Linked DNA regions of Mus musculus: regions 2, 3 and 4 are each reported to be linked to region 1. The links are microRNA targets in miRTarBase. Many come from high-throughput screens and were not tested one by one. Region 1 holds a microRNA gene; each other region holds the end of a gene's coding sequence.
The links. Region 1 holds the annotated microRNA mmu-miR-101b-3p (GUACAGUACUGUGAUAGCU, at 4,915-4,933, shown strand). A microRNA usually pairs through its seed, bases 2 to 8, with sites in the 3' UTR of a target mRNA and lowers its output. Matches are read on the target gene's strand: a 7mer-m8 pairs with bases 2 to 8, a 7mer-A1 pairs with bases 2 to 7 and ends in A, and an 8mer does both.

Region 2: miRTarBase lists Map7d1 as a target of mmu-miR-101b-3p. Seed matches in the 3' UTR shown: 8mer at 5,174-5,181 and 7mer-A1 at 5,079-5,085.
Region 3: the mRNA of Bnip5 is a reported target of mmu-miR-101b-3p. Seed matches in the 3' UTR shown: 8mer at 4,033-4,040.
Region 4: miRTarBase lists Prkaa1 as a target of mmu-miR-101b-3p. Seed matches in the 3' UTR shown: 7mer-m8 at 4,334-4,340 and 7mer-A1 at 4,760-4,766.

What each region holds. Positions count from the first base shown.
Region 1 is chr19:29,130,424-29,138,502 of GRCm38, forward strand. Mir101b (microRNA 101b) reads left to right here and starts at 4,856; the gene lies at 4,856-4,952. Rcl1 (RNA terminal phosphate cyclase-like 1) reads left to right here. Exons shown (of 9, transcript NM_021525.2): 7 at 227-383; 8 at 3,977-4,080.
Region 2 is chr4:126,227,242-126,235,320 of GRCm38, forward strand. Map7d1 (MAP7 domain containing 1) reads right to left here. Exons shown (of 18, transcript NM_001347198.1): 10 at 7,526-7,854; 11 at 7,082-7,277; 12 at 6,857-6,995; 13 at 6,652-6,756; 14 at 6,352-6,405; 15 at 6,124-6,166; 16 at 5,935-6,025; 17 at 5,627-5,820; 18 at 4,926-5,525. The coding sequence ends at 5,515. Among named protein-coding and RNA genes, the nearest start is that of Map7d1, 25 kb to the right of the region's middle.
Region 3 is chr17:28,892,855-28,900,933 of GRCm38, forward strand. It overlaps Bnip5 (BCL2 interacting protein 5), which reads right to left. Exons shown (of 12, transcript NM_172450.3): 11 at 6,629-6,892; 12 at 3,541-6,069. The coding sequence ends at 6,034. Among named protein-coding and RNA genes, the nearest start is that of 1700030A11Rik, 8.4 kb to the right of the region's middle.
Region 4 is chr15:5,177,027-5,185,105 of GRCm38, forward strand. Prkaa1 (protein kinase, AMP-activated, alpha 1 catalytic subunit) reads left to right here. Exons shown (of 9, transcript NM_001013367.3): 8 at 53-179; 9 at 1,662-4,873. The coding sequence ends at 1,906. Among named protein-coding and RNA genes, the nearest start is that of Ttc33, 4.5 kb to the right of the region's middle.

The DNA.
Region 1 (8,079 bases):
CTCGGATACCTGGAAGCCTGTTGACATCATATTCTGTGATTGTTAGGTACTGTGAGAGTCTTTGTAAAGTGCAGAGAGGGAGGAAGCAAGGGCATGCAAACTTCCTCTCGCCTTGGTTCTTCTTAGTGTTCCTCGGAGTCTACTCCTCTAATGAAGAACACATCTGTCTTCGCTGTGTGCCCCGTGTGTGCCTTTGCTTACTGGGTGTCCGCCCTTGCATCTCTAGGTCTCCAGGCTTTGGGCTGTCGCTGGTTGCAGAGACTACCAACGGTACCTTCCTGAGTGCGGAACTGGCCTCCAATCCCCAGGGCCAGGGAGCAGCAGTGCTTCCCGAGGACCTCGGCAGGAACTGTGCAAAGCTGCTACTTGAAGAGATCTACAGGGTATGTCCCCTGGCTCTGCAGGCGCAGAGAAAGGAACAGTCAGGAAAAGACGATCGGATGTCTTTCCTTCTGTACTCCTTTCTGGGCACTTGAGCTAAAGAGCTCGCCTGTGTTCGAGTATCAAGCAGTTTAGAATTAACTAGTTGAATGGGTTCATTGAACTAGTCCATGAACAAGTCTGCTCTACTGGGACACAGAAGATATAGCTTTTCATGGGGACGGAGGAGAGGAGGGAGTGAGGGTTCAAAATAAAGCAACCAGGGAAGGCTAAGATGATGGCTGGCGCACTGGCCTGACCAAAAGGAGTGTCCCCCACTTCTACCACCACCCCTCTTTCATCTGCCTCTGTCTGTCTCTGTCCCTCCCTCCCTCCCTCTCTCTCACTCTCTCTCTCTCACACACACACATACACACACACACACACACACACACACACACACACCTCTCCCCATCTGTTTTGATTTTTCTGTGTGTTTGCCTGCATGAATATATGTGCACCACATACATACTTGGTGCCTGGGAAGGCCAGAAGAGGTTGTCAGATCCCCTGCAGTACGTGGCTACGAGCCAGTCTGTGAGTGCTGTGGTGAATCTGAGTGCTCTTCGTGAGCAGCAAGTGGGCTTAACTCCAAGCCATTTCTTTAGTCCCAGGACTACAGCCTCTCAGCTGCCCCAGCTGCTGCTCTGTGGAGATAGGGACTCACCTTCAGATTTATCAAGGTAGAAATCTGGATTTGTGTGTGGATAGAGTTGTGCCGTTTATTCTAGGGCATTGAAGACTGTTTGGGGAAGGCCAGACTGTCACAGCGTGGTGGAGGCTCTGGGAAGTGTGAGAACTTGGCATTGTTAAAGATAGACTTTAGCCAGTTACTACGTGTGTCTGTGGTTGTGTGGGTAGGATGCAGGTCAGGCAGGTGACCTGACTTCTTCATGGCTACAAACTGTTGATCACATGTGCAGCAGGCACAAAAGTGAGCACACACTTGACTTTCCCACGGCTGAGGTGTCTGACAGGAAGGAGGAGATCGTGAGGGAAGAGAAGATGCTGGCAAGAGGAAAGTGTGTTCCTAAGCGAGCCCATTATGGATACAGTTCCTGCACAGTTGAAGACTGCTTACAATTGTAGTCTGCTCCCCTGTCCAAGCTGATCCAAGCCGGCCTTGAACCCTGCGCACTAGTCATGTGATGAACGTCATCATTCTACCTAATTAAAGATAGGAGCCCCTCCTGATACAGCTGAAGAGCAAGGCGTAGCCATTGTGCTTGCTGCTAGGAGCAGTGGAGCCAGGGAGTGAGACCTCCTTTAGGACACGGCCTGTCAGTAATCTTGTGTAGCCCAGGTCTGGTGCAGGGTTTTTGGTGCCACATCAGTTTATTTTTAATGACAGATCTAGCGCTGGTTTTGAGAGATAGGTGGTAGTTAGACGTCTGTGGGTAGAAGGATAAAGCCATTGATTCACCAGTTACTTAATTCATAGAGTTTTATAACATTTCCCATCTCTGTGTTGTCAGGTAGAAGGGTACAGTGGTAACTGTCTGCCTCTGAGATTCTCGTTGGCTTGTGTAGGTCTCCACCTGACCTTGTGGGCTGCTGTGTCCTCTCTCCAACTATGGGGACACTTACGTCCCTTTCTAGGAGACCATGGGAGAACGGCAGACACCATGACCCAGAGGAGTTCAGCAGGAGCCCATGGGCACAGCTGGCATTTGGGTTTCCCACCAGTCACGGGAGGAAAACCTGTGTTAGATTAATTGAGGTCTTTTAAAAACTATTATTGTTCCTCAAGCAAGTTTGCTTTGTTTTAGTCATTAAGAAAACTTCCTGTTAGTGTCTAGTCCTTAATTACTAAAAGGCTGAAACACTTCATGCTATTTTGACTAATTCTCTGTAGGTCTGTGGTGTGACATGGAAGCATAAGACCCTCATATATATATATAGAGAGAGAGAGAGTGAGTCTCTGACCCAGTTCCTTCTGCTCAGGGGTTTCCGTGTACCAGTTTCTGCTCATGGGTTACCATGTACCAGGGGTTCTGTCCTGCTGTCTTTCCACCTCTCCTCACCTCACACTCGAGTGGGAGCCGCTCTTGTCTTCAGCGGGAGATTCTTTGCACATCCTCTTCAACCTCCCTCTCATTTCCTTCCATACCTGGACTCAGTCTCCTTCTGCCCATTTGCAGAGCCCTGCACTGGCTCCTCACCCTCTATAGAATATAGAATAGAGCCTGGCGCTTTCCCAGTGCCTGTGAGCCGTACCCCTCCACTGCTCCTGTCTTCTTTCCAAGGCCCCTCAGCCACTTCAAGAGCCTGCTCCCAAAGCCGGCCTCAGCTGTGCCACCACTTGTAGCCCCCGCTCCCTCCACCATGTCCTGTACATGGACCGTGACATATTTACTGCATTAAAATGTCCCTCCAGTACCTAGTACAAGTCATCTGAGGACGGTGCAGTAGTGGCTCGGTGCAGGGAGCAGGAGAGGACAACAGCTTACTTTTAGGACTGTAGGAAAAATAAACAAGAGCTGTGAGACAATTGGTTTGGTTGGTCAGATTTCCTGTTTGTATGGAAAAGCAGCTTTTATCCTAAAGTTTGATGAATAAAATGAAAAAAATGTTTCTTGTTGTTTACTAACTTTAGAGGGATAGATTTTCATAAAGGCTTACTAAATCAAGAGTGACAGCCTGAGGGTGTTTACAGCTGCGGATCGCTTTACTCCCTGCCCTGGGTGCCTTTGAAAAGGAAGGAGGTCCCCTGTAAGCATCTTCAGCTGACTGCCTGTTATACTCAGAGTCTAGCCTTGGACAGCAGTGAGCCATGCTCACAAACTTAAGTTTTCAGATATGTAAGATGGGTAAAAACTTTATGACATCCTACTTGTACTCTGTAAAGTTGTATATGTGTTGACATTGTTACCCTAGAAAGAATAATGAGGAATAAAGGCCTCTTCTTTAAAGACATGGTTGGAAATAAAGAATGAAAAAAGGAAGCAAACGAAACAGTTGTGCTTCAGGAGGAAAATTTTGAAGAAAACTGTTTTGCTTATGCTTGGAAGACAAAAAAGAAGGAAAGAAAACTTGGGGTGGGATAATGTCTTTGTAATAAGAACAAGCAGTCTGACTGTGGCACTTTGTGGTGTTAGGTCGCATGGGAAGAGGTAAGACGCACTTAGGAACATCTGGAGTTGTTTCAGAGCAAGATGGGCTGAGTGCAGGGAGACCTGTAAGAGCTACTCACTCTCTGTGTGTGCCCCACTGCTCGGAGCCTCACCAGATCCTTATAGGTCGTCTGCTCGGGAGCAACTGTACCTCTCCTAGAGCGAAGGAAATGCCCCAATTTGGAAGGGAGGGCTCACTGTTTTCCCCAGTAGATCTTGGGAACGTGACTTTCAGCTGTTACTCGGGTTAGCTGTTAGTTTAGTCTCGATGGTTGTAGATGAATCTTCCTCGGGAGGCCATGTTCTGTCTGTCGCTGCTTGACCTTCAGTTCACTGTCTGAGGGTCTGGTGTTCTGAGGGCTTGTGTCCTCCTCTCTCCCTGCGTGTTTGTTACCCTTTCTGGTTTGTACTATGATTAATCATCAGCGTGTTTGTGTTTACAGGGTGGATGCGTAGACTCGACCAACCAAAGTCTAGTTCTGCTGCTCATGACCCTTGGACAGCAGGACGTTTCCAAAGTCCTGCTGGGACCACTCTCACCCTACACGTAAGCTGTTTCCCTTTGTCCTCGCTCATGTGTTCTGTTTGTACAGAGTGACCCGGATGTGCCGTGTGTAGCCTGTGACCACAGCATTGTCCCTGCTTGTACTGATCTCTAACCAGCCAGCAGTGGCCACTATTAACCTGATGGTTTTCTTCACACGTGGGTTCGGGCCTTGCCTTCTTCCCAGTACACCTGCTGTCCCCATGTTCTCTGAGCTCTCAGGCACGCTGGGTGGCTCTCGTGGCTCTGCTTTGTGATTTGTTTCTATCCTGGAGACAAACATGGAGCTGGAAGCTTCTCCATCCTCATTTTCCTGCTGGCATCCTTTTTCCTTTTAAAAACTTTTATTTATTCACTTTACACCCCGTTCACCCGCTGCCTTTCTTATTTGTGGTCAATGGTTATTTTCTAATAGCATTCCGTATTAGCTGGCTAGAAGAGCCAAAGAGAGGCAAAATTCCTAGGGATGCTATTAGACCAGTTGGGAGTTACAGAGATGCGTTTGGGCAGCTGGATACTAACATCTAGGATATAAAAACATGCACACTCCAAGAACAGTAGCTAGTTGGAAACTTGAATTACAGAGCGCCAAGCTCAAGAGGAGTTTCTAGTCAGGGATAAATGAGCAGGTTTGGAAACAGGCTCACGTGTATGCGTGAGTGTTGGAGTGTGGGGGTGTGCATGTATGAGCGTGTACTCATGTATACACACTTACACGCTCACAGACTTAAGCTAGCTGTTTGGTCAGCGAGGGGTGGTAAGTGGGAGGGGCAGGTAGATCTGAGACTGAACTGCCCTTTTTCGGTTATCATGGTACCGATGCTGTAGCTCTGAAAGGTACAGTACTGTGATAGCTGAAGAATGGCGGTGCCATCACGTTGAGGGGAGGCGCCTGAAGGATTCTTTTACTTTTTAGAGTTGGCAGTGGGAGGTTTTTGGAACAGAAGATGAAAGGGAATATACTCTCTTAGCAGCAGGGGACACTGATAAGCAGGAAGGACCCCAAGAGCCACACGTTACCTCCTGATAAGCTCTGTAAAGGGTTTCACAGGACAGGAAACCTAGACTTGAGCAATCCTAATGGCAGGCCACCTGCAGAAGTCCACACTGCTCAAACAGATTGTCACTGGAGCGTTCTGGGGGGAGGTGGCAGCAAGCACAGCTCCCTAGGTGCGGGATCCCATCAGTTCCTGGAAGCAACTGGTGGTGAGTGACCATCTTGGGCCAGGTTGGCTTTTTTGTGGTCAGTGCTGTGTCCAGCTTCTGCTCTGGGGCAGCAGAGGATCCATGGCTCTCCTGGAGTCTGTAAAAACCACTGTCTCCAAATGTGTGTGGCCCAGAGTTTGGGCCTCGGCAGAACAGCATGTGACCATGGAATATATGTTTTTATCTTTTTTTTTTTTTTAAGTTAGTTTTAGAGAGTCTTTCACTTCCAACTCTGGGGCCTTGAATAATCTTTTAATGTCTGTAGCCTTTTGGAATGCGACTGTCCTTCACCACATAATCCTTTTGGTTTCCTTTCTTCATCCAGAAACCTAAGATTACCGCGTCTCCTGGGAGACTGTAGTCTGCTCCGAGTGGAGCTTTAAAAGTAGTCCAGATGGGACTATTCTGTGCCTTGAGATTTGGGTCTGAGGCTTGGACACATGCTCCTTGCCCCAGGGCTTAGTGTACCCCACCTCCTCTGCCACACACACCCCGCCTGCCCCAAGCAAGCACAGATGGGAATTGTGTTCAGCAAAGTCTGTGATGGGGACCCCTTTGCCCTTAATCTTGTGGAAGGCTCCAGTATCTCAGAAGATGGAGGGTGAGCATAGGCCCTGACAGGTACAATTGACATCTTATCTGCGAATGGGACAGGCACCAGGATGGGGCAGGGGGAGTATCATGTGCATATTCTTGTGCTATTCACGTCATAGAGACACAGATTTTTGGACCTCACTTTCCTTGAGGAAAGCAAGAATATTCTTGGTGTGAAGAAGGCATGTGCATGCCTCTGGCAGTTGGCATGAGTTTGCTTTGTGTGAATGGCATCTCGGGTACCATTTTTCTGGAGTGCCAGGATTAAGAAGTTTTCTCTCCCTGTTGCTATAGGAGGTTGCTGCTTCGGCTCCTCTGTACTAGTTGAGGAAATAAGTCTATATGTGTGACCTTTTTGAGACCAGACAATTTTTCTCAGTTGAATAAATAATATTGGATGCCATAGACACAAGAAGAGAACCTCTCTTTGTTTTAAATTTGAGTATTGTTGGCTTACAGTTTTAACCCTGGAAGCTTAATTTTACATTGTAGTGAGGAATTATTTTATTTACAAGTTGAAGTAACATAAAAAAATATATCATACATTATTATATATATTAGTATATAGAGAGATGTATCAAATATCTTTATGTATCGAGATACACAATATATATATTACACATATAATATATATCTATCATCAGGCCCTTAGAATGCTCAGAAATCCTGACAGATTAGTGTTCCAAGCTTCGCTTTCTGCCTGTGCATAGGCCTTGGTGTCCAACCTGTCAGTACTTACGCTCTGTCGATGCTGCAGTGCCACCAGGGGAGGCTGAGTTGAGCATTTGTGAGTCTTTGTTGATGACATGGATGGTGAGGTGCTTAGCAGCATTCAAGGCACTATATCTGAGGAACTCACATCCTGCCTTGTGGCCCCTCACCTCATCCCAGCCCATCCCCCATCGTGTCTCTTTGAGCTCCAGAAGGTGAACTTCCACAGAGTGATCTCAGGCCCGAGGCCTGCTGCACACTGGCTGGTGTGCATCTGTGTGCAGTGCTTGTAAAATGTACGACCAGCTTCCAGCCACATTCCTTAACAACTGTACGCTCCCACCTATACTTCCGCAGAGCGGTGTAGGTAGTGTTTGTTTAACAGCAGGCATGCACTGTATCTGCCGTGAGCAGGACAATATTGTTTGATTTTTGGTTTTGTTTTTTTTTTTTTCTGTTTGGTGCTAGCAATCAAATCCAGGCCCTTATGTGTTGCTTAGCCAACCGAGTGCTCTACTACTGAGCTAGATAGCCTCAATCCCCAGATAATCTTTTTTTCAGATTATAATAGAATTGCATCATTTCCCCTTACCCTTTCCTCATTCCAAACTCTTCATATATCCTGCCTTGCTCTCTTTCAAATTCATAGGCTCTCTTTTTTTAATGATTGTTGTTACTTACATACATACATACATACATACATACATACATACATACATGTTCTGTAATACATCAATGCAGCTTGTATGAATATTTTCAGGGGTTGACCATTGGTAACCATTTGATGTGCCCTTCCCTGGAAGAAGCTGTCTCCCCTGCTCTTCCTAGCAGTCCTTAGCTGCCTCTGGTTATTTGTATAGTGTTCAGGCCTCGTGGACTTCCCACCTGCTTCCAGTTTAGCATGTCTGTCACTATGCCTGTCCAGCTCATGTTTAGGTGTCATGTTGGTGAAACATATGGATGTAGCCTCCAACATTCGAGTCACAATCTCACAGCAAACTCACTGATTCTTTTTCACTTAAAAATCATCCCACCCCCACCACCTTCCAAAATGTTCTTTGAGCCTTAGGTATGGGAATTATAGGCATATTTATCTGTTGGGGCTGGGCTCTACACCTCTGCATTTTGATTGGCTGTAGTTTTCTGTGATGATCTCTATCTGTTGCAAAGAGAAGTTTCCTTGATGCGTGAGGACCACACTTAGCTGTGGTATAAGAGCAACTATTTAGAGTGTAGTTAGGGATTATGCTGGTTGTAGGTTCTCCAAGATCCATGAGTTCATGAGTCCTGGACATTTGTCTGGGTTTTCAGCATGAGGCTGATGCCCCTTTTGTTGAACTTTCCGTTCATTTTAAATCTTTTAACTCCTGTGGTTTCCAGCATAACCCTCTGTGAGTGAAAATGTAGGTGCAGTTGTGTGCCTCATCTTAACTGATAAGACATGTCACTTGCCAGGGTCACACAAAAGCGGGGGCTGGGGGGATGGAACAG
Region 2 (8,079 bases), not on the chromosome of region 1:
CTAGCGAGCCTAGGGTATCTTGGTACAGAAAGAGTGTGTAGGGGTTGAGGGAGGTGTTGTAAGAGAGCCAGGGTTCAGGAACGTTGGCGGCTGGAGGAGGAGCCAAGAACGTTTTGTGGCCTCCTGGCTCTGCCTTTTCTGACCCTGTTGGGAAAAGGGCAGCATTAGGGAAAAGGAGGTTTCTCTGGATGGGGTGGGCCCCTGCCTCCACCTCCCATCTCCTCAGAGACGCTCGGAGTCTTGAATAGACCGGACATTCCTAAGTTTTCTGGCAAGGAAACCAGGAAATCAGACCTTGAGCCAGCCTCCTTTCAGGTCCAGCCAGTTCATTGGAAGCAGCCTTTGCCCCAGGACTTCCCGGAAAAGGCCCACTGTGCCAGGGGAGCCACCCTCGGGCTTCTGCCGCAGATGCCTCTAAGATGTACCGCTGCGCTGCCCACTCTCCCTGGCTATGGGTTAAACCCATCTCCTGAGCTCAAGTTCTGTACAGTTCTCTGTGTGACACTTCTGTGGGTCTCCTTAAGTCCTTTCCACCGTTCCTTGTACACGAATACCAGTGTCTGTGGGATTGGATTGGACCTAGAAGGTTTGGAATTGTCGTTGTCGTTGATCCTTTTTCCATTTCCCATGACCAATGAGCTTTTCTGTGTACTCTGTCCATCTCTTGGTTTCCACCACGCAGTGAGCCAAGTCCCCAGCATCTCGTCACTAGGACCCATTTCTACAGCAAGTTCCACTGCCACTCTTCCTTCAATACCTTTTCCAGGTGACAGTCGTGATAACCTGGTTACATCCCCTACCTGATGAACCTGTCCCAGTAGCTCCCTTACCGCTCCTTTTATTAAATAAGTTATTGTTATTTGTGTGTGCGTTGGGGGTGGGGAGACACACATGGGGAAGTCAGTTGCAACTTTGTAGAGTCTATTCTTTCCCTGTACTTTTAGAGGGGTTCCTGGGTTCACTGATGAGTCATCTTGCTGTCCCCACCTCCTGGGGTTTTGTTTATTACTTTTTTGGTTCTTTAAACAGAGTCTCACTGAATAGTCAGAGCTGGTCTCAAGTTCGCAATTCTTCTGCCTGAATGACTAGTGCTGGGATTGTGGGATCACGGGTATGAACCACCCCACGGTGCTTCCAGTGTGCTTGCAATAAACATTAGATTCCTCGGTGGCAGGGTTCCTGAATGAGCTGGCCCTTCCTATCTCTGTGAGACCCAACCCCCCTCATTTTCTATGGTTCATCTACCCCGGCCCCATTCACTACAGGCCTTTGTAGAGTTGCCTCTACCTGAAACCCCAAACCTTTGCACTAGGAACTCTTGGGGATCTCAGCTCCAGCTCCTTTCTCAGGGATGCCCTGCTTCATCTCCATGACTGGGGTCAGATCTCTTACTCGTTTTTCTAATGCCACACACTTAGCTGCTTCAGGGCTATCAAGGCTGTAATTATGTATTTGTTTGAAATACTGCTTAGTTATTAATGGACCTCTATTAAGGACTACATCAAGTTTTGCCCACTTAAAAACAATCTCCGGGGCAGGTGAGGTGGCTGGGTAGACAAAATGGTGGGGTCCAAACTTAAATGTTTGCAAGATGGGTACTTTGCCAACAGCACCATCTCCCCAGCTCAGTGTATCTGGTTTATTTGGTTTGGTTTTTCCAGACAGGGTTTCTCTGTGCCTTGGCTGTCCTGGAACCCAATTTGTAGACCAGGCTGGCCTTGGATGCATAGAGATCAACCTGTCTCTCCATCCCGACTAAAGATGTGTGCCACCACTGCCCAGTTGCTTTGAGTTTTTTTTAATTTTTTTCCCCAGACATGGTTTTACTGTGTAGCTGTAGTTGGCCGGACTCCCTCTGTAGACCAGGCTAGTCTTGAATTCAGAGGTCCACCTGCTCTGCCTCTGAGTGCTAGAATTAAAGCACACTGGTCCAATAACTTGTTCCTTCAACAATTGACTATATTGGTTACCCACTTTCTCTTCTTCTCCTTTTTTTTTTTTAAGATTTATTTATTTAACACACACACACTGTAGGCTGTACAGATGGTAATGAGCCATCATGTGGTTGCTGGGATTTGAACTCAGGACCTTCTGAAGAGCAGTCAGTGCTCTTAACTGCTGAGCCATTTCTCCAGCCCCCACCCATTTTCTTTTCATCCAGGTCAGGTCTGTGACATTTTTTTTTGTCTGAACCTTGGTGACCCCTTCTTGCCTCCTGGTGTATAATCAACCCCTATTGAGCAGTTTCCCCCCAGAAGTCCAAGAGTATTCTAATGAATCTCTAATCTTATGTCACCATCCCTACTTAACAGCCTTCAGTGGTTCCTGAGTCCTGAGAATAAAAACCTAAGTTTGTAAGCATAGCTTTCCAAGGCCTTACCTATGTGGTTCCCCTCATAGCAAGCGCCTTTTTTTTTTTTTTTTTTTTTTTTTTGAGACAGGGTTTCTCTGTGTAGCCCTGGCTGTCCTGGAACTCACTTTGTAGACCAGGCTGGCCTCGAACTCAGAAATCCGCCTGCCTCTGCCTCCCGAGTGCTGGGATTAAAGGCGTGCGCCACCACGCCCGGCTGCAAGCTCCTTCTTAAGAATTGGGTCTAACTCAACAAATAGAGAGTGCCTCTTCTGCTGGGCAGTGGGTACTGCTTTCATCGGAAAACCCCAGACCGCGTCCATCATGTTTATGCACATATGGATACAGGCACGTAGCTGTTTCCCACACAGCCCTTTGCTTGCCTAGAGAGCCATCTTTCTCCTTTCCACCTTGCTGACCTTGCCAGTCAACACCCAGCCCCCCAGGTGAAAGCCACCTGGCCTAGCTTGCTAACCTGCTGGACTCCTGGGGCACACCCTGCTGCTCCGAGCTCTCACAGCACTGACCCCACGTTGTACTTTCATATTTGTTTGTGTGGTCTGATTAATGTCCACCTCCTGCCGTTTCAGGAAGCTCAGAGCCTCTGGGCTTGGTTTCTGCTTAACCACCTTATCCCTCTGGCACTTAGCAGCTGCTCCACAATTTACTGACTGAACAAATGAATAAATGCTTTCCTAAGCGTACTCAAGAGGACACTGCCTTCCAGGGAGACGCCAGTGGGGGGCTGGGAAGGGCATGTGAAGAACTTCCATTGTGGCCCAGAATGGCTAACCCCTTCCTGGCCTCCCCAGCCGTGCCATGCCTGTGACTTATACCCTGCATCCTGCCCATCTCCCCAGCCCTCTGTAGCTACTCTCTGGAACACTCCTTCAGGCACCCATAAAGCATCTCACATGCTGACTCCTGCTTGAACTTCTCCCTAGGCGGCCATGCCAGCTCTGACCTTTTACGCCTCCTTCCCCAGCTTCCTAAGTGCTAGGATAAAGGCCAGGCCAACAGGCCCACAACTCCTTTTTAGTTTCTCAAAAGGGAAGCAAACTCACATATTTATGTGTCCCCAGACAAGTTAGAAGCTTTGAACCACACTGAAAATTCAGTTTGCATTCATTGGCTTAGACAGTAAGGGAAATCGCTTGGAGGTGGGTTTGCTTTAAAATGTTTTGGCTTTGAATTTATTACTGTGTGCATGGTGTATGTGTGGGCACATGGAGGTCAGAGGGTAACTCTGTAGAGTCAGTTCTCTCCTCCGGCAGCTTGTACTTGTACTGTAAGTACCTTCACCAGCCGGAAATAGGCCTGCTTTAGGTTTTATGGTTGGTTAATTAGGTGGTTGGTGTTCAAAGACTTAGATTTCTGGGACTGCGGCTCAGTGTTACAAGACTTGCCTGACGTGCATGCAAGATGCCCCAGATCCAATCCCCAGTACTGAAAAATGAATGAATGAATGAATGAATGAATGAATGAAAGAGAAAAAACACACTCCCAGCATTGGCAGACTTAGGCTCTCAATGCTGCCATCTTTGCTTTGGCTTTGTTTGCAGGCTGCTTAGTGGGGTGTGAACTAACCTTCAGCTTCACGATGTGAATTTCCATCACAGAAGCGGGGCTTCTCTCATGGTGCTATCATGTGGCAAATAACCACACAAGAGCAATTTAAAGTTTGCCTCACTTTCTAGCTGTTTCTAGCTGCAGGTGGTCCATGAGGTGAGGGTCACACTGTGGGCCAGGCCTAAGGCCATCTGAAGGCTGGACCGAGTCTCATAACTGCTGGCAGAGGCTTCAGTGTCTGGGTAGACAGGTCTCTTAAAAGCACTCTGATTTTTACCCAGCCTGAGTGACTCAAGATCAGGAAGGCAACCAAGACAGAGGCCTTGGCTTAGTGAAACACCATTCTTTCTGCTGTAGTCTATTGGCTACTCCGGCCAACCTAGTTACAGCTCGGGAGGAGACTGCAAGAGTGTGACGACAGGGGATGCCGGAGGGTCACATCAAACCTATCTGTCACATGGGGTTCCTTTACAAAACTCTCGGGAGACTTCTCTTCACACCTGCTGGCTGGAACTGTCACATGCACACATGCAAGCCTATCCATGACCCACAGGGCCATCATTTTTGGGTCACCGAAGTCATAATTCACTGGCCAGAGGTGGGCTAGGTGCCACCTTTGCTAAGGTGAGTTGGTACTGGGAAAGAACTTGGGTACCTGGAGAGGTCAGGGTTGTAGTGAACAGGAATAAGGGGCAGAGGGATGCTGAGCAGAAAGCCCAGCTTCTGTGATGCTCGCTGTCTGGGTAGAAACTCCACACGCACAGAGGCTGTGCCTTTCCCTAGTTCTGTACTTCTAGGTTACGCACAGCAATTAATATCTGTTGAGGAAATAAAGGAAGGAATTCATAACCAAACTAAAAAAACCATAGCACAGGGAGGCCAGGACTGCTACACCAATCAGGGTGTAGCAGCCTCCAGCCCCAGGCTCCTGAAGGTCTCAGAGCTCAGGTCACCTACTTGTACCTCTCTTCCCCCTCCCCCTCCCCCAGATCCAAGGACACGTAGGTTTGGCAGAATTTTTCTCCCTTTATTTCCGGAGAAGTTTGATCAGATGTAATAACACTGATTCCAGGCGAGGACAGGGGGCATCACCCCTGAAGCAACCAGTATTGTGTGGCCCGAGGTGCCCCTCCATTCCCAGACCTGGGTTCCCCCTCGGTTACAGTTAAATAGAGGAAGATCTGCCCAGGGAGACTTGGGAGGGGGGTTCTGCCTCCTGTACCCTACCCGCCTCTTCCACATAGCACAAGCTATTTACAGTATTCACATCCACTGTACCCCAGCAAACCAAGGCAAATACTACAAGTGGTCCTTCCCCAGGGGGAAGACCAGAGAGGCTATGAGTGTGTGTGTGTGTTGTGTATGGGGAAGATGGGTGTCCGAGCGTGTAAGCACACGGATGTACTGAGGGGCAGTCCTGCTTTCAGCCAAAGACATCACCAGTCTGTAAGGTGCGGATTAAAAACAAAGAGGAACTCTGCCCCCAGGGGTCCACCAGGCCACTTCCATCTTTGTTCTGTCTCTTTCTCTTCCAGACACCCACGAGCTGATATGGAGGAACCTTCACAGCTGCACCTCGGTCCAAGGCAATTTGCTTAAAGAACTTCTAAGGGAAGGGAGAGGGATAAAGGTTAGGCCCGGGGAGCCCCAGGCAGGGATGGGTGGGATGCAGCTGGGTGCCAGAACCAGGGTCCCTAGAGTCCCCACCTGTGACCTGTGGAGGCTGCACCACTGCTTTCTTGAGGAAGGCTTCTGCCTCTGCAAATGGGAGGAGCCCCTCTGCTGTGCGACCCAGACTCTTGTCCCCAGCGGTTCCCTTTGGGGAGAAGCCGTTCTCCTGGTGCGCTGGGAGAGGCTGCAGGCCATTTACCAGGGACCCTGGCATCTCCTTGCTTGGCAGGCTGTGGATGTAGGGGTTCAGGGTTAACACCTCACCTCCCTGGGAAGCCCAGAGGAGTCCACAGCTCTAGCCTGCAGCTGCTGGCCTGGGAGTCCCTGGGATTGGGAGCTGGTACCTCCACTGTGGCTCCTGGGGGGCCAGCTCCTCTTTCTGCATAGAATCCTTCTGTAGCCCAGAGGGCCGAGTCTCTACAGCTTTCACAGGGTCTATGGCGGCAAAGAAATGGCCATCAGTTAGGGGATGTTGAAGGGTGGAACTGGAGCACAGGGGTGACCAGGGCAAAGAAAATGCGTGGTGGCTTTACCTGGGCCGGAATTGTTAGCTGCGGTCTCCTTTGCATCCTGCTTCTGGTTTGAAAAGGAAGAGCTATCAGGTGCCAGGGCTATGTGGTCCCGTTGACCTCGGAACTGAATTCCCTTTTGGCCCAGACACAGAAGAGCCTCCCTCACTGTATCCTTCCTCGGCTCTGGAGGCTTCTCTGCAGCCTCCTTTCCTCACCCCAACTCCCGCTCCCCAACCTGAGAATCCTGACCTTGGTTTCGGCGGCTTCTGATTTCCGAGTCCTCTTCATTATCTCCTCCAGCCGCTGTTGGAGGAGGCCCCACATCAGTTAGGCTCAAACCCAGACCTAGTCCTCAACTTCCCACCTGCTGGCCCTATTCTAGAGCTCAGTTCCCTCCCAACCCACACCCGTCCTTCCTTATCCGATCTTCTACAAATCCAAGCCTGGGCCCCACTGGTTCACAGGTACAATTAATTTCCAAGAACTGGAGCTGGAGCCAGGCCCCGCCCCGGCAAGGCCCCGCCCCCAGGTCCCATCTGCCCTGGACACCTTTCTTCGCTCTTGTCTCTCCTGTTCCTCCTTCTGAAAGTGCTTTTCCCGCTCCTGGCGCTGGCGCTCAGCTTCTTCCCGGGACCGGGCTTCGGCTTCCTCTTTCTGCCAAAGGCCTCCATAAGTTTCGGATTCTCTGTTTCAGCCTTCCCTCCCAGGCAAGCCCACCGATTGCCAGCCAAGATCTGCCCGCCCGCCTGGGCACCTGCTTCTGCAGTCGCTCCTGCTCCTCCTGCTCAGCCTGCGCCTTCTCTCGAGCCTCCTGCTCCTCCCGTCTCCGCGCCTCGGCCTCACGTTCAGCCCGGGCTTCAGCCTCCCGGGCCAGCTGCTCCTCTCGCATTCGCCTGGAGGACCCAGGAAACTCAAGTTTGGTCTGCGCCTCTTCTTCAGGCACTCTAGGGACCCTCACAGTCCCCGAGGTCACACTCACTTGTCCCTTTCAGCCTGCAGCTTCCGCTCCTGTTCTTCGCGTTCCCTCTGTTCCCGAGCCTGGCGCCGCTTTTCAGCCAGGAGCCGCGTGGCTTCCTCTCGGTCTGTGGTGCCCGCCATGGGTTTGCTAGGGGTCACCGAGGGAGCAGCGGTAGGAGGGGCAGTCGGAGCAGCTGGGACAGCCGGGACAGCAGTTTCTAGAGGAAGATCCAAGACCAGGAGTTAGTACACACCAGTACAGGCCCCTCCATCAGCCCTGTGCGCCCCCATGCTTTCAGGACTTCAGCTATGCACGCATTCAATTCAATTGTTGCCATTACGGGTGTCGGAGACCTGGGAGGAGGTCCCTCTTCCTGTCCCTTGTGACCAGTGTCTGTTGGCCCACTTCCCGGACATAGGAAAAGCTGGCACATCTCTGCCCTGCCCACCCTCACTTCCTGTGTACCTGCAGGGATCTGTGTTGAGGATTGCTCCTTCTGAGGCTGGGCTGGGGTGGGCGAGGGCACCGGTGAGGGCGCTGGTGAGGCTGGGGCAGCTGGCTCCTTCTCCTCAGCGGCTCTACTCTTGCGGTGGTTTTTGTCCTCAGGCCCCGACGGGCTGGGGCTCTCTTTTGCCTCCTCCTTCCTCCGAACCCGCCCCTTGGGTGATGCAGTGGTGCCTCGGGGGGATGGTGGTTTTGGAGGAAGGGCATGTCCTGGTCCTGGGCTGGGGCAGGGGGAGGCAGGTCTGTGCCAGGTTGTAGAGGGAGAGGATGGCCGGGCCTTGGACTTAGGGCTAAGAGAGAAGAAAAGGGTTAGAAGCAAGGCAGAGCACCTGGGCAGGCACGCCCCTCCCCCAACATGCCACTTCTTTGGGGAAGTGTTCCCTTAAAAAAATATATATATCGTGTGGAGAGTGTAGTGTGCATGTGTGAGCATGCGTGTGAAAGCAACTTCGTGGAAGTGCTTCTTTCTTTCCATCTTTCCATGGATTCCAGGGATTTAACTCAGGGTACAAGGC
Region 3 (8,079 bases), not on the chromosome of region 1:
AGCCGTTCTGGGAACCACAGCTGTTGTCGATGATCCTGAGGAAACACAAACAGACGCTCTCGCCCAAACCAATTGAGAGCGCTCCTCTCTCACCTGATTCAGCGCCTCATTATCTCTCTGGAGTTCTGTGCCACATCTTTAAAACCCCCTGTTCCTCTGCAAACCTCAAGTCCCCATGGTGCTTGGTGCAATTTGTCCCAAAACCGTGAACCTTAACTTGTCCTTTCTTTTCCTTTCCCTTTTCTTGCGAGCACCCGACTGGCCAGGAAGAACGACGCTGCAACAGGATCCTTCTGCACACGTTTATTGGGAGAGCTTGATTGCAGAGGCGAAGTGACCCGAAGCCCAGAACTGGTGCTGCTTATATAGGCCTAGGAGAGGCGTGACTCACACCCGGATTGGTTGTGCTTGGGTTATGCTAATCACCTCATTTGCATGCCTACATCTTATTGGTTAACTTCTCTCTCATCTTGGCAAAAGAACCTTTACTGCCTATGTATGTGTGGTGGCCAGCAGTAGCCAACTGCCACTCTGCAACTGCCACTCTGTAACTGCCACTCTGCAACGGCTTCCCACACCCTTTTCTTTTTTCCTTTCCTTCCAGCATCTCATTTGGGGTGTAAGAATTACTCTGGAGGTGACACAGATGTCCAATCCTGCTGAACCCGGAGTGGTTCTCCTCGGTCTTTGGGTGGCCTCATAGACACTGTGGTCTGGAACGCCCCATACATTTGTGGGCCCTGGGGACGCGGGCCCCCTGTCTCGTTTTTTGACTGTTGCATATTATTTTGAAGTATCAGTCTCCCTTTTATGTCCTTGACCGATCTACACTCATTAGCCCAATGCTTTCCTTTACCACACTTTGGGCAGATGCCTGGCACCTTCTTTTCAGGTTTACTCCTTCTATCCCTAGGGCATTGTCTTTGTATATGTCCTGTCTGTCCACAACTGTAGCAAGTTATTCCTTTTGATCTCTGAGCCGATAATACAGCTCCGGCTAGACCTGAATTAGACAATGGCCCTCCTATCTCTCTGCATGCCTTCACCCACATCTGCAGGCCCTTTCCCTTCCAAGGTGTTATTGTATTCCTACACTCCTTTGTGCATTGCTCATAAACTAGTTGTTCTATCAATGGCATAGCTGCTTCAGAATCACCAAATATTCTTCTGGCTGCCTCCATCATACGGGCTACAAAATCTGAAAATGGCTCATTCATTTCTTGAATTACTTTTGTCAAATTTCCTGATACTTCCCCCCTATTAGGCAGACCTTTCCATGCCTTTATAGCTGTATTATTAATTTTTCATAGACCTGCACTGGATAACCTACTTGATTATTTGCCCATTGTCCTTGTCCTGTAAGCATTTCGAAACTCCATGCCAGTTGCCCTGTTGCTGCATTGGCACAGGCCTGATTAGCGCTAACATTATGCCAGATAGATTTCCAATCTAGATATTGTCCCATAGTTAAGCATGCTTTAACAACACTCATCCAATCATTGGGTGTCATAGCAGTGTGAGCGAGCCTTTCTACCTGAGATTGGGTGAAAGATGCATTGACTCCATAGGTCCTCACCGACTCTGCTAAATCTTTTACTTGTTTGTGCCCCAAGGGTTCATAATATCTACCCTGATTTTGGTCCTCAAACACCGGAAACATCTGTCTCAACTTCCTTCGTACTGCTGGAGTACCAAAGGAGTGGCTGCTTCCAGTATCACTTCCTGTTTTCTTAGAATAAGGTGGAGAAGGTGGAGGGACACTGGGAGCTGACTCTATCGGGCCATACCGTTCCGACTCATAAGCTGCAGCAACCTCTTCTAGCTCCTCCTCCTCCTCTGTAGCTAGTTCAGAATCTTCTGAGCTCGAAAGTTCAAGCTGTTCTAGATCAGTTAATGATGGGCTTGATCTCCGTTCCACCCCCCTTTTTGGTCTCCTTTTTTTCTTTATCCTTTTGACTCTTCTTTTCCTTTTCTAGTTTTTGTTTTCTGCGCACTCCTGCTCTCACATCTTTCTCTGTTTCTGACATACTTTCCTGATGTTCCTGTAACAGTCTTTGTCCCTCTTTTTCACACTTCTTATCCTGTATACAAGCCCTAATTAGTTTTCAAAGCAGAAATGCCTGGTTTCAGTTTCCCTTCCCAGCAAACACACTCATGCCCTGGACGATGGCAATTAAGGCAATAGCACAGAATCAGGACTACTATAAAGATGACTAGAATGAGACAAGCAACTGTTAAAGGATCTACTCCAAAGGGAAGCACACCTCTCAAAGACGTACGTTACTCCTTCCCCGTGATGCAGTTCTGAATCCTCCCTGTAACAGGGGGTCTTTGCTCATGCCTGAAGATGTTTCGTTCCCGGGTTTCCGCACCACTTGTGGACGCCCGACTCACCAGCAAGGAAGACGCCACAACAGGATTATTCTGCACACGTTTATTGGGAGAGCTTGATAGAGAAGGCAAAAGTCCCCAGCCCAGAACTGGCGCTGCTTGTATAGGCCTAGGAGTGGCCTATACTTGATTGGTTGTGTTTCAGTGTCTCATTTACATTCCCCAGGATGGGCTGTGACGTGGCGCAAAACCCTTATGCACATGCGCACATTGGTTGTTTACCCGAACTTATGGGCGGTGGCCAGCGGTAGCCAGCGCCATCTTGTAATGGCGTATGTAGCTTCCCACATGCTGAACCCTTACAACCCAGGCTGAATTCAAACTGGATATTGTGAGGTCTCAGAGAAACCCGGGACAAATGGCTGAGGTGCCTATTTAACACACCAAGGCAGACTCTGGCTCAGTCCATACTCACAAGTGCCTGTTACAGACTCGTCCTGCCTGGCATGCCCCGCCCCCCTACCCGCATTCTCTCCAACGCCAGAGCTTTCTTCCCCTTACCCCAGATTCTCCCATTCCTGTATATATAACCAGCCATTTTGGCTATGTGGCCTCTCTTTTGGTCCACAGCCCCTCCTTCCTCTATGGATTCCCACCGCCATCTCATGGTCTGCGTCAGTCTGCTAGCCATGTGCAGTCTGGACTCTCCCAGATGCCTCTGGCTTCTCTGTCATTCATATCTACAGTAAACGTCCCCTCAACCATGCCGTCCTTTTCCCATTCAGACACATAGCAGAGAGCGGCCTCAAACCCTTTCTCCACACCTGTGCTAAGTCACACCAGCTTCATCAAGTAATCAAAAAGAACGATGGCTGACCCAGCCTCTCTCTGCCTCAGGAGTCAGGTTAGGACAGCAATATCTCATTTCTGACATTACCCGCCTGGGATCGGATGGGAAGCCCTGAGCTCATGACCACCCAACCTAGCACCCCTTTTATTACTGTGTCAGCATGGTGTCACTCTAAAGTTGAGCCAGAGAGAACCCAGGACAGGGACAGGGAGGCTGGCCCCACTAGCTCGGACTGTCCTGGATGGGGGCTGGTGGCGGCCATCTGGTCTCTTCTAGATGGAACACGGGGGCAGCCATTTTGTCTCCACTGGGTGGAGCAAGATGACCTAGCTTCCCTGAAAAGATCCGGTTCACACTTTGAGTCAGTGTCTTTATTGGTTCAAACAACACAGTATAAAAACCAGACTTGGATGCCAGCATCGGGAACTCATAACAAATATTCTACAGCCTGGATAGTCGTTCTTACAGATAAGAGACAATGTCCAAGGTTTGGAGCGAGCACTCAGTGGTAAAACAAGCCCTGTTCCCAGCAGGCAGCTTACAACCATCCAGCGCCATGAGATACAGCACCCTCTTCTGGCTTCCGTGGATACTGCACTCATACCAACCCACATAATTTAAAATGAAAACATAATTTATATATAAATAAAAGAAACTATGTACAGTTGGGTGTGGTAACTAACCTGAACTATGTAGAAGACTGATTTGCTAATAATAAAATAAACTATGTACAAAAGGCTCCTGACCCTTGTTTCAAAAATTTAGTTCCCGGGGCTGGAGAGATGGCTCAGTGGATAAGAGGGCATTGACTGCTCTTCCAGAGGCCCCAGGTTCAATTCCCAGCATCCACATTACAGTAATTTCTTGTAACTCCAATTCCAGGAGTCTGACACCCACACACAGATACACACGCAGGCAAAAACAAACAAACAAACAAACAAACAAAAATAACCCACCAATGCACACAACACCATCTTTTGAAAAGTCACTCAAAGCTTTGGCTCTTGCACGTCCATGCCACACCCAAGAATACTACCTAAAATAAATCTATAAGGAGATCAAGTGCCAGTAAGAGACACCTTGATGGAATTAAAAATAAATAAATAAAGGGAGGATTTTAGTTGAACTTCCTGAAAGGATGCCTTCGCTTGAGACTGCCTCCACCTGAGAGCCAGGCCTTCCTACCTCCATTCAGCTGCCATGAATGAAGCCATTCAGCCCAGGTGCCATGAGCCTGCTGTGGCCACCAATAGTCTCCAAGGCTTACGAGACTCACTCTGCCACCCAGGCTTTGATACCCTCCCCCATGGTCACACTTTCCTGCCAATAGCCCAGGGAGTCAATGGCCCCAGCTCCTGTGTGTGGGTATGGACGTGTGACGAATATGCGTATCTATGTCACTGGCCACATCTCACAATTGTGCAGATAGACACATCCACAAGAGGGCCAAACACGTCCCAGCCATCAGTGATAATGGTGTCTTAGTCAGGGTTTCTAACCCAACACTGTGACCAAAATGTAAATTGAGAGGAAAGGGTTTAACCTGCTTACACTTCCAAATCGAGGTTCATCACCAAAGGAAGTCAGGACAGGAACTCACACAGGGCAGGAACCTGGAGGCAGGAGCTGAAGCAGACACCACAGAGCGGGGCTACTTACTGGCTTGCTCCCCGTGGCTTGCTCAGCCTACCTTCTTGTAGAACCCAGGACCACCAGCCCAAGGATGGCCCCACCCACACTGGGCTGGGCCCTCCCCCCTTGATCACTAGTTGAGAAAATGCCTTACAGCTGGATCTCATGGAGGCATTTCCTCAACAGAGGCTCCTTTCTCTGTGATAACTCCAGCTTGTGTCAAGTTGACACACAACCATCCAGCACAGACAGGATGAAGGCTGCATGTCTTAGGGCAAGAGGCTTTGGGGCAGTGCACATCTGTGCAGCATCTGGGGCAGTCCAGCTTGAAGCCCTCTTCGACTTTCTGAAATCTACCCAGCTGTGACCATGTAAAGTAGCCCAGGTGTGGTGGCACACAGCTGTAGTCTCAGTACTCAAGAGACTAGGGTGGGGTTGGGGTAGAGAGATGCTCACCTGGGCCACAGAGTGAGACCTTTCTCAATACGATAAAATAATTAACTGGGCGGTGGTGGCACATGCCTTTAATCCCGGGAGATCGGGAGTGACGTGGCAGAGACACAGCTACAGCTATTTGAATGCATGTGTGTTTTCCAGCTGGAAACTGAATTTAAAAACTATTTTTCAAAATGAAGACTCATTTATGGTGGGGTGTGGTGGCCTAAGTTTGGGTGATGTCAGCGCTGAACCAGGCAGATCCCTTGGACTCTCAACCTCAGACAAACCTGCTTGGGTGAGTCTCAAAAAACAAGGCAGATCGAACTGGAGGCGGGATACCGGGGATTGACCTCTGACCTACACTACCTCCCTCCACCCAGTGACACACAGAGACAGACAGGCGGGCAGGCAGGCAGGCAGATAAGCAGACATATATACACACACACCAGCTAAGACTCATGGATTTGGCAGATGTCAGTCATGAGGGATGAGGGAGTTGAGGGTGGGGGGATGGGATGCAGAGGGGAGAGCCTCCAGGTTCACTCGATGAAGCCTGACCTCCTAACCCCATTCCAGTGCCGACCCCAGCACAGCTTCTGGGTCCCACTTCCCGGAAGAAAGTGTTCCCAGACAATGCTGAGCGCACAGAGAATTGTCCATGGTCCATTCTTGCCTGCAGGGAATCACAAAAGTGGGCCATCCTATGGGGGTCTTCCGGGTCTCCGGGCCAAAGCTGCTGACTATTGGCTACTCAGAAAGAACTTGTGTATGAGATGTGGCCTTCAGTCCGGACTCTGGCTATCCAGATTCGTGATGTCCTGGGAGGGGAAAAGCCACAGGCAGACTCAGCAGGGCCAGAGACAGCAAGCTCCCCACCCTGCCGCAAGCTCCCTACCGAGCCAATCCACACCCACGATAGGTCCCCTAGACTTTGCAGCTCCTCTCCCCCTTCATCGGGCACAGCTGTCCTCAGTTCTTCAGCCTCAGTCTCCAAAGCCCTGATCATTCAAATTGCATCTGCCACTTCCTGCAGGCCCTTGGGACCAACTCGCAACACCGGGCTCAGTTGCCTGTCCTTTGAAGCTGACTACAGCTTAGCTCTTGTCTTTGTGTCCCAGAAGACTGCAGCAAGGGGGGAGGATGGCATTTGAACTGAAGCCTAAAAATCAGATGTGGGGGGTCAAATAGATGGCTCAGTCGGTAAAGGTCTTTGCCAGTAAGACTGGCAAGCTGACTTCCATCCATCCCTAGAACCAACTCCCAGGAGTTGTTTCTGATCTCCACCCGTGCGCCGTGACACTCACACACCCGTGCACACGTATCAGGAAAGTCAGAAGACCTGTGGCTATGCTGACCCGTCCTTACCCCCGCTCTCACCTGCTCGGCCTTCCTGGACAGGAAGTGGGCGTAACTGTGTCCCTTGTATTCGCCTCTGGACTGCATCAGGGTGCAGATGGTGCAGCTGCGGGTGGCCGCAAACTTGTTCAGTGTGCCAAAGGCACAGGGTGGCGGCCTGTTAGCGAGGCTCCGGCCTTCCTCTGAGAGGCTGGCCTTCTGTCTCTCTAAGGTAGCCACCAGCTTCCTGAGGGAGGCATCCGAGAACTCGTTAAAAAAACGCTTGAAGCTGGGGTACTTCCGGATCTAGAACGGAAGTGGAGTCGTCAGTGCTGCAGCCTGCGGGGTCTCCCCGACTCCCGCCCCAGTCTGCTCCCTAGCATCCTGGGAGAGCACCCCTTCATTAAATCCCTCCACCACCCTACCCTCACTTCTATAAGATATGGCTTGCAGCTGCAGGGCAAAACAAAACAAACAAAAACCAACGCGTGTGTACGGAGAGCCAATATGGCACGGAACTCGTCGCCTTGAGCCTCCATTCAGCTAGAAAAGTGGGGGTGACCAGATCCCCTCTCCAAAACGGTTGGAAATAGACTCAAGAGGCCAGGAAAAACACTCAATAGATTCTCAGCCCCACACTAAGGTCCTTCCGGCTAATTTACTTCTCTTCATATCCGGACATGGTAACTGGGGTCTCCAGGAGGTGGGAGGTGGGAGACCCAAAGACAAAGACTTAGGTCACACATGAGATTTATTTGAGATCCTGGGCACACCGATGGGGATAAGGACCTGGACAAGGATGGTAAGGTGGCCCAGGCAGTGATGTGTGGATGCCTCCTAGGGAGGACTGCTAAGGTCTTCCGCCAGGGTGGAGGCTGCTTGAAAGAACAAAGAACTGGGTCGAGCAAAGCTGCTTGCTGGCAAGGCTGCGCCCACCAAAGGTGACCTTGTGGCAGGATCTGAGTGGTCGGAGGTGCTCTGGCTTTGGCTTGGGGCAGACCCTGATTTGGAGCAATTAGAACATTCTGGTTCTCTCTCTCTGTCTCTGTCTCTGTCTCTCTCTCTCTCTCTCTCTCTCTGTGTGTGTGTGAGAGAGAGAGAGAGAGAGAGAGAGAGAGAGAGAAAATGTGCGTACACGCATGCACATATGTATATGATGTTTGCACTCATGTAAGTGTGCATACAGAGGCCAGAGAATCCTTGCTCTAGGGCTCTGCCTTATTCTCTTGAGACACAGACTCTCATTGACCCTGGAGGTCGGCTAACCACCATCAAACCCCAACGATCTTCCTGTCTCCTCCCATACAGCTCTGTGTTCTGACAGGCACATGATCCCATGCTTGGCTTTTTTACATGTGTGCTTGGGATTTGAACTCGGGCTCTTGGCGGGCGGGCATGGCAAGCAGGCATGGAGGGCATGGCGGGCAGGCATAACACGCACTCTCCCTGCTGAGGCATCTCCCCAGCCTGCCTGCAATCCTATCATTTCAAGC
Region 4 (8,079 bases), not on the chromosome of region 1:
AGGAGAACTGATGTGATGATGTGCCTTTGTTTTTGTCCATATCCAATGCTAGGTTGTAAACCCCTATTATTTGCGTGTACGAAGGAAGAATCCTGTGACAAGCACATTTTCCAAAATGAGTCTACAGCTATACCAAGTGGATAGTAGGACTTACTTGTTGGATTTCCGTAGTATTGATGGTATGTACACGCAGAACCCTGGAGGTCATGTAGTTATATAGCCTGCTTACCTCATTTGCTTTATAGTCTTTGTTTTCTTTCTTTCTTTTTTGAATAAAAACTAAGCATGCAAAGTAGTAAGCTTCATATGGCGCCTTCCTCCCTTCTCTCTCTCTAGCTTTTCTATCCTCCCTCCCTCCCTCCCTCCCTCCCTCCCTCCCTCCCTCCCTCCCTCCCTCCCTCCCTCCCTCCCTCCCTCTGCATGTGTCTCAGAACACATGGGACAGGCTGCAGAAGTCAATGTCAGGTACCGTCCTCCTTCACCTTCCATCTTGCTTTGGAGACAAGGTCTCTTTGCACACGGGTGGTTGCCCTTCAGGGTACACTCACGGGCCAGCAAGCTCCAGGGATCATTTAATTTCCGACTTCCAGCTTTGGCGTAATGGGCGTGCCCTCGCTGGCCTGGCTTTGACATGGGTCTGGGGATCAGCGGCAGGGCCTCCTTATCTACTGAGCCTTCTCCCCAGCCCCCCAGTGCACGCTGCCATACATGTCCTGCGTCCTTGGCATCCTCCTCACTGCCCTCCACCTCAGCTATGTCTTAGGAAGCTTCCTGGCCTTTTCCTGCTAATTCATAGGAAACATGACTTCCTATGTTCTGCAAGACTGACGTTTGTGAAACCTGTTATTCTTGCTCCATGTAGCATATTGATTTATAGATTATTGGGGCTAGGGATTTAGGTCAGTATTGAAGTTCTTGCTTCACTGGCTTCAATCACCATCACCTGACTATTGTTCTGTAAAATCTTTAAAAATATACAGGGTTTTTGTTTGTTTGTTTTGCTTATGCTCTAAGTGATGTTTGAGAAGCTGCAGGGTAAGAGCGCTGATCTGAGGTGGGGAGGGTCGAGCTCTTGAGAGGTGGGAACTGTCCCTTTGGTGCCTTGGACAAGTCCCTCAACTTCTGGCTTTTTATATCTGTAAAATGGTTCCTAGGTGAGACAAGTTCCAAGATACCTTTCATACTGCAAGTGATCGATTCTGTATTTTTTGTTTTGTTTTGTTTTTGAGACAGGGTTTCTGTGTAGCTCTGGCTGTCCTGGAACTCATTCTGTAGACCAGGCTGGCCTCAAACTCCCAGAGTTGTCTTTGCCTCCTAATTGATGGGACTAAAGGTGTGCTTGCCACTACCCAGTGAGTCTGTGGTTTTAATAAATATCTCCTAGCAGTGATATTAATTTACAGGTTATTAGTTTACTGTTTCTTAGTTGGTGTGAAAGTCAAGAGTGCTATACTATGTATCCCATGTTGACTGGCCATTGTATGTATTTTTTGTGCTGTGTGTAGAAGTGGTAAGGTGCTTTACAAAGGCACGCTTGCTCTATTTGAGAATGTAAATAAAACCAGTGTGCTTTGGAGAACTGGTTAGTAGTCTCACTTAGGTGCTGCTTAAACACTTGAGGGAGAAATAGATAATAAAACATTGAAATTCTTTCCACCCAGATGAGATTACAGAAGCCAAATCAGGGACTGCTACTCCACAGAGATCGGGATCCATCAGCAACTATCGATCTTGCCAAAGGAGTGACTCTGATGCCGAAGCTCAAGGAAAGCCCTCAGACGTCTCCCTTACCTCATCTGTCACCTCCCTCGACTCCTCCCCTGTCGACGTAGCTCCAAGACCAGGAAGTCATACAATAGAATTTTTTGAAATGTGTGCAAATCTAATTAAAATTCTTGCACAGTAAACCTAAAATTTTGCTTATTTCTTTGATGCAATAAGCATGCATAATAAATAATAGCCAAATACTTCCACTTACCAAGTTATATATATGTGTGTATATAACTGAGGATTGGCCTTTTGGAATGCAGTTTGCACAGGGACTGGAAAACGATTGATCGTTAAAAGCCTGATGTGCAGAATTGAATGAGGATCACTCTGTTATCCCGTATTCAGTAGGTACACACAGCGTAACACACACACAATGGACTGTAGGTCTCAAGCTTACTTGACTTTTGGCCATTTGAATTTGCTGTAACAGGTCTCAGTCGACCATAAATTTACCATAAAGCCTTCACATATTAGTACATGTTGATGTATTTTATATTAGCTTCATGAATTTATTGAGTTGCCTGGAATCCTCATAGACCTTATTAGATAATGCTGTTTTCTGGGCTCCTTAACTTCCAAAATAGCTACTAGTTTCCATTTTTGGTTACATTGTGAACTATTTCCATATTCCTCTTAACATGCTATTTTTGTGTAGTAAGTCATTTCAGAGAGCAGTCTGGATTTAACATTTTTCTTTGGCTTGTGAGCCCCCAAAGCCCCAGAATTTATATGTTCAGACCCTCCAAGCCCTGAATTTACTTTTTCAGGTTTGCCCTTTTATATATGAAGTGCTGCTTTGGATCCAAGAGCCGAGTTGCTCACACTGTAGTGAATCGTGTTGCTTCTGTCAGTGCACAGAGACGCTATCATGTCAGCCAGTGTTGAATGTCTTTGGTATTTTCTAAGCCAATCCAGTGCATAGAAAGGACAGTGTTTATACGCTCTGAATGCTAGGATTGGGGTTTTAGCCCCTGATTTTATTCTGGACAATTTTTAAAGAAAGAAAAGTTGCAAGAATTTAGTGACTGCATGTGTATTTACTACTTAGCTCCTACAACTACTGTTTGGCCATATTTGCTCTCTAGATCCACACATGTATAATATACAGATATGCACATATATTCGAGTATATGTTTGCTTTTATTCTGAACCACTGAGATGTTAAGGTATATATATATATATATATATACCAGCCCTGAATACTTCAGCACTTCCTAAAAATAATAATAATGTCCTTTAGAAACCTTCTGAAACCATTATAAAATCAATAATTTCCAGATAGTGCCTGGTTTTCCAGATTAGCTGTAACTGCCCAGAATTCCATTTAAGTTACAGCCTGATTTTATTTGCAGTTCTTTAATCAGGTTAATAACACTATTTTGAAAAGATGTAGAAGAAATCCTTTCTTCAAACTGGCCAAGTTTATTTCAGGTTTTAATTCAAAATAATGAGTGGCTAAAGAAGTGTGATTTTTCTTCAATCTCTGATTTATATGCCTCTCTCCTTTTAGTGGTAGCATAGCATAATGGGTGTAAGTGAAGATTTAAGTCACGCTAGACAAAGCCGGTATTGTGTGAGCTAATAATTAATGTCATATTGGCCATATTTGGTTTCCTTTAAGTTTAGGAAATTGGTCAGAGGCTCTAGCCCAGTGGTGAGGCTGGGTCATCTCCAGCAACGTGAAACAAAATGCATTTTCTTTAAACATTAACCATCCCCCCTTTGTAAGAGAGACTTTTCCCCCCACTGCATTCATTTAAAAATATTTTGCCCCATCCCCAAACCTGTCCAGCACTTATGTAAGAACGCATTTGGAGGACATGATAGCTTGCATAAAAGATGACGCTATAGTTTATGCACTGATTTCCGGACAAAAATGATGCTTCTTTTTGTTCGGGGCTTGTTTTATTCAACTCCGAATTGAATGCTGTATAAAGTAATGGAGACTCCATTTACCTGAGTTCCTGACTGTATTTATACCTGTGTGTTTGTGCCCTCTGTGTGGGGCTCCCTGATGTCACGTATGCTGTCTGAATGCAGCGCTGTATTCCCGCTGTGTAGAACAGAAGGCTGCATTTGTAAAGTTATAGATTTGTAAATAAAACTGAGGAATATCTCTATAAACTGTTGGGGGGACGGGGCACAAAAGGAGGAGCCAACTAAATAGGACCTTCTAAAATTTGTTAATTTTGTAATCTTTGCTTCTTTTATAAGTTATTCTGTGATTCCTTTTAGTTACCGAGTTTTATTTTGAAGACATTAAAATATTGCACTTGTATAAATAGTATGATAAATGCAGACTATTGCAGTCAAATTTTTTAAAAGCTAGGATATCTGAAATGACAACTTTCAGTTAAGTATGTCAAGCCCAGGACAGGATTTTCACAAATGTATTGTAGTTTGCAAATTCTTACACTGAAAATGTAAAGGGAGTCAATGCAAATGATTTTTAATCTTTTTTTTATTATCTTTTCAGCAATTTATATTTTCTTGTGATTTTATGCAACCATATTTTTACTTTGTCTTGACAACTGAAAGCTGTGTGATGTTTTTGACAGAAAAGTACTGTATACATAGTTTTAAATATAACAGATTTTGCTGATATGTAAAAATTTTGCCATTAAAGTTGATTTCTCATGAAAGGAACTTTTCTACCAAGTCGGGAGACGCAAGAGCTTAATATATCTAATTTAAAATAATTTCACTGAAATAAACACCATTGCTTTTACTTTGATTCTATTTTTTTCTTAAGATGCTTTTATAGTGTTTGGGAGTTTTAGATAATTTTATATGAATTCTCTCCCTACCTTGCCCCATCCTTTGGATCTTTGATACCATTCACAAATAAACTCATGTGGCTGGGTGTGTAAAGATATGTACCCCAAGGGGCATCTTGGGAAAGAAAACCATAAATTCTTCTCCTTAACTCCTCCCTCTGCCTGTTCATTGTGGGCTCTGACATGATGAATGGAATGCCACACACAGCCTGACTGTAAGCCGTTGTTGGGAGGAGTCCACCATTGTGGCTTATGTATGTTTGCCCAGAGTAACCTGATTTAGAAAGATGGCATAATAAAGAAAAAAGTTCGTTTTTCATTTGTTACACAGTATTTCTTATTTCATCAAGGTTTGGGGTGGGGTGCACTTGTTCATCGTTGAGTATCGGGGCTCGTTCAGGTACTGAAATATTACGATGCAGACAGTAAATGCTGAAGCAGCTGTCACAGACCAATCACAAACACAGGCCTTGAATTCCATCCTTGCTAGAATTCAGTTACTATTCAATCTAGAAACTCAGCGTTCTTGAGGCTTTTGCAGGATTGCTAGCTTTCTAAATCAGAAAAGCTTCATTTTAGATGTTATGAACAGCATGTGAAGTTCTTTTGGAGAGCTAATTTTTCTAGATCTTCATTACAAGTTTACACAAGAAACTGGCATGTGGAAACTTGCATCCATTAAACTGTCCTGTTCTGAATGAGTAAGCTTCGGGTTGTTGTAAATGCCAATCAATGGTGCCAAATATTTAGAGGCTGTTCACTGACTTGGAAGACATGGCCAAGTCTTTACTAGAGTTGAGGGCATCATGGTTAAGCTACCCTGAGAGACTGGGAAGAGGAACAGAGCCTCAAGCACTGTGTATTCATCCATATGGCCACTGTGAACCATTCATGACAGATGTCACCAGGACAGCAAGATACAGGTCCTGCGCCAACCATCTTATTAGGGATGGATGGAGATAGATATAGACACTAAAGTACAAACATGTAAGGATGGACTGAGTTGTTGGGAATGTGACCACGTGAACCTCCATCCAGACTGAGGAACAGTGCATCCACCAGACTGTCTATTACGATTAATATGAGCGTGAGGTGCCACAGGCCAACTCTGACATGGAAAGACCTTCACAGAGCTGTGAGCACCAAGAGCAGGAAACACTGAAGTTCTTTTATAGGCTGACTACCACAGTAATACATTGGTTATAGTGAATATACCAACTTACTTGACAACATTAATGAATATAATCAAATTATAAATAAAAATTGTATCTGAAGTTACCATTGATCTCAAAGTCTAGACACACTGGGAAGCTGTCAAGATTATTATATAAGGAGTACAGTTTTGTCATTGGAACAGACATTGTCAACTTTTTAAGTGAGAAAATTTGTGTGTGTATGTGTGTTTGCATGTCATAGCACATGTACGGAGCCCAGATGACAACTGTCTTTCCAACGAGTACGCTCTGCAGACATAACTCATGTCACAAGGCTGAGCAGCAAGCATCCTTACTTGCTGAGCCATTTCACAAGCCCCTTGCTTTATTCATTTCAAGAAAAGGTCAAAGACCTAAATATGAATATAATCAGTTTGTCAGCGGTTAAAAAAAAAAAACAAAAAACAGTTGTGTTCCACAAGATAGTGGAACTTTATAATAGCCTTAAAGAACTGGGTTTATTGGGTCTGGAGAGATGGCACTGACTGCTCTTCCGGAGGCCCTGAGTTCAATTCCCAGCAACCACTTGGTAGCATACAGCCATTTGTAAAGGGATCTGATGCTCTTTTCTGGTGTGTCTGAAGACAGCTACAGTGTACTCACAGAGAGAGAGAGAGAGAGAGAGAGAGAGAAAATAATTGATTTGATTCTTATGTATGTGCAGCCACTTGCAGAGGCCAGAACGTGGGGTTGGAAACTCCCAGAGCTGTAATTACACAGAGGCTGTGAGCTGCCAGATGCTGGTGTTGGGAACTGAACTTTGGTCCTCTGGAAGAGCAGGAGCCAGTGCACTTAACTTCTGGACTCTCTGTCCAGCCCTCATGGTGGAATCTTCACTCGCTTTTGAGAGGCATCACACTTCCGTAGCAGTAAAAGCACTTGGTATCATAGAAATATGAATGCCATCGTTTAGAAATGCCCTTGACGAAGCAGTGATACTTGGCTTATTAAAGTGAGTCTGGAAATTGGGACTCTTGCTAGGTGACATAGCTAGGTCTCATCTCAGGAGAAACTTGTGTTCCAGAGTTTCACTGTAACGGCGTGACAGAGGACTCTATCACTACCATTAGAGTTTGCATCATTACCTCAAATCCACGTAGCTGCTCTATCACTGTGGCGTTTTAACAGCCAGCACCAATGTTTACTTTTGTGAAAAATGGCAATATGTACGAGTTCTGGGTACGGAAGGGCCTTTGACACTTGGTATCTGTGGGTGTCAGAAGAGGGCAGCAGTTCCCCTGTAACTGGAGTCACAGATGTTTTGAGTCTCTCTGTTGAGTGTTGGACCTGAACCCAGGTCCTCTACAAGAGCAGTAAGCCATCGCTGGGGCCAGCATCAGTGATTTTAATGCCAGCGTTGGGTAAGAGTGTCCCTTCAGGGACTATTTGACATTTTGGAGAGAAAGAAGTTAGTAGTCCTTTTGGTAATGTATGTGTGTGTGGGGGGGGTGGGGATGGGGATGGGGGTGGGAGGTGGGGAGGGGAGTATTACTAATGGTATCTCAGAATCCTACCATGTTTCTGTTTGGTTTCAGACCCAGGAACAAACAACTTAGGTGTATATTTTACATACCAAAGCAGACCTGGCCTCCTGGTTCTCCCAGCATCCCTCAGTCCCTAGTATAACTGGCCCCCAATCCTGAATTTTCAGCACAGGGCCTGGACTCCCTTCCCCCAGAGGATCTTTGCTATATAATCCATTTTGTTTTCTCCCTCCCCATCTCCCCTGCCCCCTTGTCTTAGCCTGAGGGCTCTCTTTCTCTTCCTCTTCTCTCCCTTTTCTGGCCTCCTTCCTTGGGGCCAGTGAACTCACCTGCCCGAGAGCAGCTTCTTAATAAACCTGCAGTTGTATATATTTTAATCTGGCTTGAATTGGCTCATTTTACCAGTGGAGAAATAACTTATCAGTTTACCTCAACAAATAACTAGCCAGTAAGACATGCGGTGGCGCGTTGAAAAAGCGTGGTCTCCATAAATCGATCTTGGCTTTGTGTAGCACAGCTATGTGGATAAACTTAAGGAGTTTTCAATTCCCTCAGTGTGCCCCATTGTTAACATCAGCCTGCTAATTTACTTGTAAGAAGTGACAGGTGCTACTTTCAGGCTCTGCTGTGGATTCTCACAGGAAGCTTGCAGTTCAGCCCAATCCTCCCTGATCGGCTCTTACTTAAGGTTTCTGTTGCTGGGATAAAACACCATGACCAAAGTCATCTCGGGGCGGAAAGGGGTTATATCAGCGTCTAGTTTCACATTATAGAAGGAAATCAAGGTAGAAACTCAAGCAGGGCAGTAATTGGTCCTTTTTAAGGCTTGTTCAG